Notamacropus eugenii: one gene and its partner. The protein of the gene in region 2 purifies or fractionates together with the protein of the main gene of each other region. This does not show direct contact. Links are inferred from orthologs where the notes say so. Each region holds a gene or a part of one and is shown on either strand. Other genes may lie near its edges.

The links.
Region 1: the proteins of STX5 (region 2) and SEC22B purify together in Homo sapiens (co-immunoprecipitation; 4 studies listed by BioGRID and IntAct, counting the BioPlex papers as one, with this or other methods). This does not show direct contact. The link is inferred for Notamacropus eugenii from reciprocal best matches to the Homo sapiens genes STX5 and SEC22B.

Annotation. Positions count from the first base shown.
Region 1 is NC_092873.1:300,261,991-300,265,735, forward strand, and holds the start of SEC22B (vesicle-trafficking protein SEC22b), read right to left. Parts: upstream 2,786-3,745; 5' UTR 2,493-2,785; coding exon 2,418-2,492; intron 1-2,417. UniProt on the Homo sapiens protein: SNARE involved in targeting and fusion of ER-derived transport vesicles with the Golgi complex as well as Golgi-derived retrograde transport vesicles with the ER.
Region 2 is NC_092873.1:15,894,495-15,898,239, forward strand, and holds the start of STX5 (syntaxin-5), read right to left. Parts: upstream 2,535-3,745; 5' UTR 2,344-2,534; exon of another isoform or gene 2,216-2,343; intron 55-2,215; exon of another isoform or gene 1-54. Other genes in the region: TEX54 (testis-expressed protein 54), read right to left, coding at 2,900-3,138, 3,241-3,304. UniProt on the Homo sapiens protein: Mediates endoplasmic reticulum to Golgi transport.

The DNA of each region.
Region 1 (3,745 bases), about 280 Mb from region 2:
TATTTCATCAATCTTAATATTATATTAATTAATGTAATTATATCAATTAATATTATAACTCACATTTACATTGCATTTTAAGTTTTGCAAAACTCTTTCTAACAATCATGTAGTGCATGTAGTAAGAAGCGTCATTCATATTTTATAATTTCAAAAAAGTGATTTGTCCAATATCAAACAACTAATCAGGATGAGTCATATTAAAACTCAAATCTCCAGGCTCTTCACTCTGATGTTCCTTCACTATAACATGCTGTCTTTTGTGTGTGTGTGTGTTCGTCCTTCATTGCCAAAGAAGACCATGCCATCAGAGAAATAATGATATGACTTGCACTTGGCTTTGTTTTGAGTGAGGGAGGGCTGTGCAGGTCACCAGCCTCACTTCTCCTCCAGAGCCATCTGAATCCAGTGACCAGATATTCATCAGGATGACTGGAGATGAGCCAGGATGAGGCAACTGGGGTTAAGTGACTTGCCCAAGGTCATACAGCTAGTGAGTGTCAAGTGTCTGAGGTGAGATTTTAACTCAGGTCCTTCTGACTACTGCACTGGTGTTCTATCCACTGCCCCTTGTCTTTTGTATATCCCTAAGCATAACAGGTACTTGCATAGGGCAGCAAGGTGGTTCGTGGACAGAGTGTCAGGCCTGAAGACATCTTCCCAAGATGAAAAGTGGCTTCAGACACTTACTAGCTGTGTGACCTTGGGCAAGTCACTTAACCTTGTTTGCCTCAGTTTCCTTATCTGTCAAATGAGCTGGAGAAGGGTATAGTAATCCAGTATCTCTGCCAAGAAAACCCCCAAATGGCATCACAAAGAACAGGGCTTGACTGAAAAAGGATCAAATAACAACAACATAGGTATTTGACATGAGCTCTCTCCAGATTTCACCTGTGCACAGGCCTTGAACAGTATCTCATGGATACCCCTTCCACCATTCCAACCACAAACCTTCCCTTAGGTCTTCATGGGCTGCTAGAGTCAGAAGATTTCATCCTGTGCTAACCAAATGTAGGATAATGAATCTCTCTGAACTTACCTAGGCTGGGCCTTAGATGCTGTCACTTGATATGAAGAGCTTTACTGTTCATGAAAGAGAGTCAAGAGTTTATTGGACTGTGATTTCAAGGGGTCAACAATATGACAACATGGCAGCCAAAGAAAGCAGTGTGATCTTGGGCTGCCCAAGTGAGAAGTACTAGTGTCCAGGATAAAAGAAGTGATAGTTTTGTTGGGTCTGTCCTGGTCAGACTCCATCCACTATACTGTGGTCAGTTCCAGGCACCACATTTTAAGAGGAAGAATGACAAACATTCAGGGAGGCCAATGACATATGACGACTACTTGCCAGAACTGTGGTTACCTCCGCAAACGGAAGGTCAAAAGGGGCCATGAGAGTTATCTTCCAGTATTCGAAGAGCTCTCCTGTGGAAGAGGCTCTGGAGGGCTGAACTTTAACAACAACAGGAGGAAAATAGAAAAAAAAAAGTAGATTTATACTCAATATGAGAAAAAAAATCCTAACAGTTAGGGGTATCCAAGACTCATCTTGGGAAATAAGGGTTTTTCTCTCATTGGTTTTCAAGGAGAGGTTAGATGACCTTCTCTGAGATTTGGCTAAAAGTTGTATTCAATGAGCTCCGACACCACACCTAACTCTTGATATTCCAATCTTTAATGGCTGATAAAACCCACCAGGGCTTTGGCTGGCACAAATTTGAGAAAATCGGGGTCACCTCTCTCACCAAAGTAAGGTCCCTGAAATGGGGCTTAGAAAAGAATCCTTGACCATGGCAGGCACTTATTATACAGGGTATCTGCTGAACTCGGTTGAAGCCGTAAGAAAAAGGTTCCTTCTTTCATATTTTGGGGATTTTTTTTTCAAGTAAAGGTTTAAACAAGTCAGACGAGAATTTAGATCTTCTCATCCTGCTTTAGTAACCTCTAACTTTAGTCCACCTATAAACACCTTCCACGCAAGATCTTTAAAATAATTCCGACACATATCCTCGTCAACCACGTAACGAGCCGGGTCAAAGATTAGCAGCCGGCCCTCCTTTCTAGATAAGGGAGGCAGAGGGGAAATGTAACTGGTCCAGGGGTCAGACAGCGTGTCAGGGCTCTTTCCTGCCCAGTGTCTTTAGCCAGGGCAAAGCTGTGGCTCCCAATCCAGTTGGCTAAGTCCAGACGGGGCGATGGTGGGCATGGCCACGCCCCTACCCCAGAGGATCCGGGCTCCCGGGGGTGGAACTTATTCCATTGCAACATGTGCCCCGAGGAGCTAGTCCCTGCCACCCCCCGCTAGTGCTACCACGGATGCATCCCCCGTCTCCAGCCCTACCACCTCGGGCGGAGCCGGGAACCAAGGCTGGGGGTCCTCTGGAGGAACAGGGGGCGGGTCGCACCTCCCCCCTCACCTGCTCATCCTCTTGCATGGAAGCTGCCAGCGGCAGCCCATCCGCCACCCGGGCGATCATCGTCAGCAACACCATTTTTTCGGCTTAAAAGGGCGCCCACACCGCCCCCCTGACAACAGCAGTCGCCGTAGTCTCCCTTCGTTCTCCTCCTGGCGACCGGTCCGCTCAGGACTTGGCTCTGTCTGCGTCTCCTCTTCCCCGAGCTGAGGTGGCCGGAAACAGAAGCGCGTGAGGTTCGCCTACCTCCGGTCCCTCCCCACCCTGGTCCGGTCAGAAACAACCAGTTCCGGCGCGCACGTTCCTACCCTGCTCTGCTTCCCGCTTTAGCTGAGCCTGACGGGCCCCGCCCACCTCCCCCTCGCCCCGCCTGCTGGCCTTGTGGGAGGGGCTAGAGCCTAAGAGTGCATTCACTCGCCCCGCCCCCTAAGAGGGGGGAGGAGAGAAGGAGAGGGGAGAGGGGAAAGAGAAAGAGAAGGTTTAGAACCAGGTTTCTTTGTTTGAATGAGATCAATGAAGGACCTGGAATGACAAGAATCATAGACTCTCTGACCTGGAAGGGACCTTGGGGATCATCATCTTGTCCAGCCTCCAATGCAGTGACCCTGACAGATCCCTGAACAGCTCTAGTGACGAGGAGCCCACTCATCACCATGCAAGAAAGCCCTTCCCTTGGCTTTTGAGGGGGAGTTCCTGCATGACCATACAAGAAAACCCTGCCATTGACTTTTTTGACAACTCAAGTTGTTAGAAAGTTCTTCCTTATTTTGAACTGTATCCTTGCAACTTTCTCAGCCTGGTTCTACTTTTACTCTTCATAGAACCATGGTAATTTATCTCTCTTTCTTATTTCAAAGCAGTTATCCTATCTTCTTATTTCCAAAATAAACATCCCTGGTTCTTTTGACACATCCTTATTCTCTTAAGTCACCCTCTTGCTCCAGTTTGATGCATGTGTATGTCTCTGTGAGTGTGATATAGGTTATATATGTCCACATGAGTCAGTCTAGCTGTAATTTGAAGGTAGACATAAATCTCTAGTCTCTTCCTCTCACCTTTCTCCCAGGAACATTTTGATTTCTGCCAAGGCGAGGACAGGAGATTAGAGTTTTGAGGCTGGCCACTCCCTTCTCTTCAGATTATATCAGTTTAACACCTTACATACTGTTAGTCTGGTGGAAATAACCTTTAGGCTCAAGTTGAACTCCTGATCAATATTATTGAGATAGAAGTGTCCCAAGCTATATATCTTAATCTTGATTCCCTTCCCCACCTAATGCAAATTATACAAAGACCACCCATGGAAAATAAGACATAAGACTATTTATCCT
Region 2 (3,745 bases):
CCAAGTTCAAGGCGTCTGTGCTGTACATGCCAAAGGGAGAATGGGAGGAGAAATCTGAGGAAAGAAGAGATAAAGATAAGGAAGTGAACACAGAAATAAGAAAGCAAAAGCAAAGGAAGAAATGCAGAGGGGAGAGAGGAGTGCTGGGGGTAAGAATCAAAGAGAGAACAACAGAGAAAAGGAAGGAAGGAAAAGGAAGAGAAAAGTAAATGGGGAGAAGGGAAAGAAGGAGGAAGGAGAGGATGGGGAGGGGGAGAAGGGAAAGGAAGGAGGAAGGAGAGGATGGGGAGGGGGAGAAGGGAAAGGAAGGAGGAAGGAGAGGATGGGGAGGGGGAGAAGGGAAAGGAAGGAGGAAGGAGAGGATGGGGAGGGGGAGAAGGGAAAGGATGGAGGAAGGAGAGAATGGGGAGGGGGAGAAGGGAAAGGAAGGAGGGAGAGAATGGGGAGGGGGAGAAGGGAAAGGAAGGAGGAGGGAGAGAATGGGGAGGGGGAGAAAGGAAATGAGCATTTATTACATGCCAATTATGTGGCTGACACTGCTAAAAGCTCTTCTGAGATGTCTCATTTGAGAGGGAACCAGGGCTCCTATTATCTTTATTTTACAGAGGAGGAAACTGAAGTCACTGGGCCAGAGTCACCCAGTTAAGGAGTGTCTAAAATCACATTTTAACTGCAAGTTCCCTTCCACCTCCAGGTCCAGTTCCTATATACTTGTCACCTTGGAGGGCAAAAGGGGAAGAAGGGAAAGACAAGGGAGAAGGAATGGGGGGCTCCAGAGAGAAAAGTAAAAAGGGGGAAAGAAGGGAGGACAAAAAGGAACTGAGAGGAAAAGAGAATGGAACGAGGGGGAGAGAAGTAAGAGAGGGAATGGGGGAGGGGTTAGGAGAGAAGAGCAAGAAGGAAGAAATGAGAAAAGGGATGAAGCGAGGTGGGAAAGGAAGGGGGAGAGAAAAGAGAAAGAATGAGGGAGGGCTGAAGGAGAAAAGGAGGGGGAAAGCGATGGGGAGAATGGGGGAGGAGGGGAGAGCGGTGGGGGGAATGGGGGAGGAGGGGAGAGCGATGGGGGGGAATGGGGGAGGAGGGGAGAGCGATGGGGGGGAATGGGGGAGGAGGGGAGAGCGATGGGGGGGAATGGGGGAGGAGGGGAGAGCGATGGGGGGGAATGGGGGAGGAGGGGAGAGCGGTGGGGGGGAATGGGGGAGGAGGGGAGAGCGATGGGGGGGAATGGGGGAGGAGGGGAGAGCGATGGGGGGGAATGGGGGAGGAGGGGGAGAGCGATGGGGGGAATGGGGGAGGAGGGGAGAGCGATGGGGGGGAATGGGGGAGGAGGGGAGAGCGGTGGGGGGGAATGGGGGAGGAGGGGAGAGCGGTGGGGGGGAATGGGGGAGGAGGGGAGAGCGGTGGGGGGGAATGGGGGAGGAGGGGAGAGCGATGGGGGGGAATGGGGGAGGAGGGGAGAGCGGTGGGGGGAATGGGGGAGGAGGGGAGAGCGGTGGGGGGAATGGGGGAGGAGGGGAGAGCGGTGGGGGGAATGGGGGAGGAGGGGAGAGCGGTGGGGGGAATGGGGGAGGAGGGGAGAGCGGTGGGGGGGAATGGGGGAGGAGGGGAGAGCGATGGGGGGGAATGGGGGAGGAGGGGAGAGCGGTGGGGGGGAATGGGGGAGGAGGGGAGAGCGATGGGGGGAATGGGGGAGGAGGGGAGAGCGATGGGGGGGAATGGGGGAGGAGGGGAGAGCGGTGGGGGGGAATGGGGGAGGAGGGGAGAGCGGTGGGGGGGAATGGGGGAGGAGGGGAGAGCGGTGGGGGGAATGGGGGAGGAGGGGAGAGCGGTGGGGGGAATGGGGGAGGAGGGGGAGGGGCAGAGATTAAGGAAAATGGGGAGGAGTAAGGGAGGGGGAGAGATGGGGGCAATGAAGGAAGAGGGCGAAGAGACCAGAGGGGCAGGAGGAGAAAGGGGGCGGGAGGAAGGATGGGGGAAGGGCTGAAAGAGAGCCGGAGGAAGGCTCAGGGGGTGGAGAGGGAAGAGGGGTCTCCGTTCTGGGGCTCCCAGGAGACAGGATGCTGGTCAGGGGTACCCTCCAAAATGTTTATCTGACATCGGAAGTCCCGCCCCAGACTAAACCCCGCCCCCTCCGCGGCTTTGGGCAACGATTGGCTGCTGCCGCTATCCTTCACGGAAGGCGGCGCTCTGATTGGGTAGGGGAGGCATCGCTCACCAGCGGCTGGACCGGCAGAAGTCCCCGGTCTCCCCGGTCGGTCGTCGTCCCCCCCATCCCCGCCCCACCGAGAGCCGGCCGCCCTCGGCCCCAGCGTCTTCCCCAGGCTCGTCCGGGTCGTCTCCTACCTCCGCGTCGCTGCCTGCTGCCGCCACCTCCGCCACCCGGGCCGGTACTGTTTCTTCCCCGGGGACGAGCCAGAGAAACGGGACCAGAGACCAGAGGTTGACACGTCACCTAGGCGTGGCCCCGCCCCAAAATGACGGCAGCGCGCCGACACGCCCCCCTCCGGCGGCGGAGGCCACGCCCCCGCATCAACAGTGACGGTCACGCCCACTCGCCCGGGAGACTCCTTGGCGACGCCCCTCCCCCGACAGCGACCCAGGCTCCCAGCATGCCACGCCCACCAGCCGGCTTAATCCCCTCCCCCAAGTCCCGCCTCCTCCCTCCTCCATGGAAACCTACGGCGCCACGCCCCTTGGGTTACGCCACAGCCTCCCGAAGAACCTTAAAGGGCTCGCCGCGCAGATTCGCGGCTCCTCCCCTTTCAGCTTAGGGGAAACTGAGGCCCCGCGCCCTCTCCCCCAGGCAGACCCGAGGCAGGCTCCACCTCCCGACTCCAGGTCACTACTTTTATTCTCTTCTCCGGGGGGCGGGGCGGGGCGGGGCGGGGCTCCGCCGGCGTCATCGGGGCTCCGGGTCTCGGCCCAGATCGGGCGACGTGAGCTCCTCGAACTGCTGCGGCTCGGGGGCCTCCGGGGTCCGCCCGGCGGAGCCCGACTTCGCTCCGGACGCGGTCCTCACCGCGGGCTGCTGCTGGCGCGTGGAGCCCCGCCGGCTGAACATGGACAGCCTCCGCCAGAGCACCGTGATGATCAGGCTGTCGTTGGACTTGTGGGACCCCTCGTAGCGGCTGGCCGGTCCTGCGGGGCGGGGAGGGAGCCGCGCTGCCCGTCTGCACCTCGGGGCGTTCCGGGCCTCGGCCAGCCCCCCCAGCCCGGGGCAGCCGCCCCCCCACGCCCTACCTTCCATTTCTTCCCCGGGGCACACGTCATCGTGACTCCTGCTCTTGGACCTGGCACAGCCCATGTCCCCTCCGCCGACCTGGAGGCCGGGCAGCCATCGCTCTGGCCGGAGGCCCGAGCTTTTGTGACATCAGAGCCCTCCCCACCCCCGCCCCCCAAGCGGGCTGCCGCCGCAGGGTCCCGGGCCGGGCTCTCGCAAGGAGGAGGCAGGGTCACAGAAGGGGGTGACTTCTTTATTTACAAAGGGGGGGCAGAGGTGGGGGGCCCCCCAACGCCGGTTGCTGCTTCTTCCCCACAGGCTGCCGTTTCCTCTTGGCCCCTGCGGTCACGGGCTCCAACGAATCCCACAACTCATCAGTCTCGGTTTCTTCGGAGGGGACTGGGACAGGATCTCTGGGCTCATCCTGGTGAGCGAAAGGGAAGGTCTATGGGGAGACTGCCCAGAAGCACTGAGATCCAGGGCAGGCCTTTCCAATTTCCCCAGTGCCCTCCCCCTCCTCCTCCC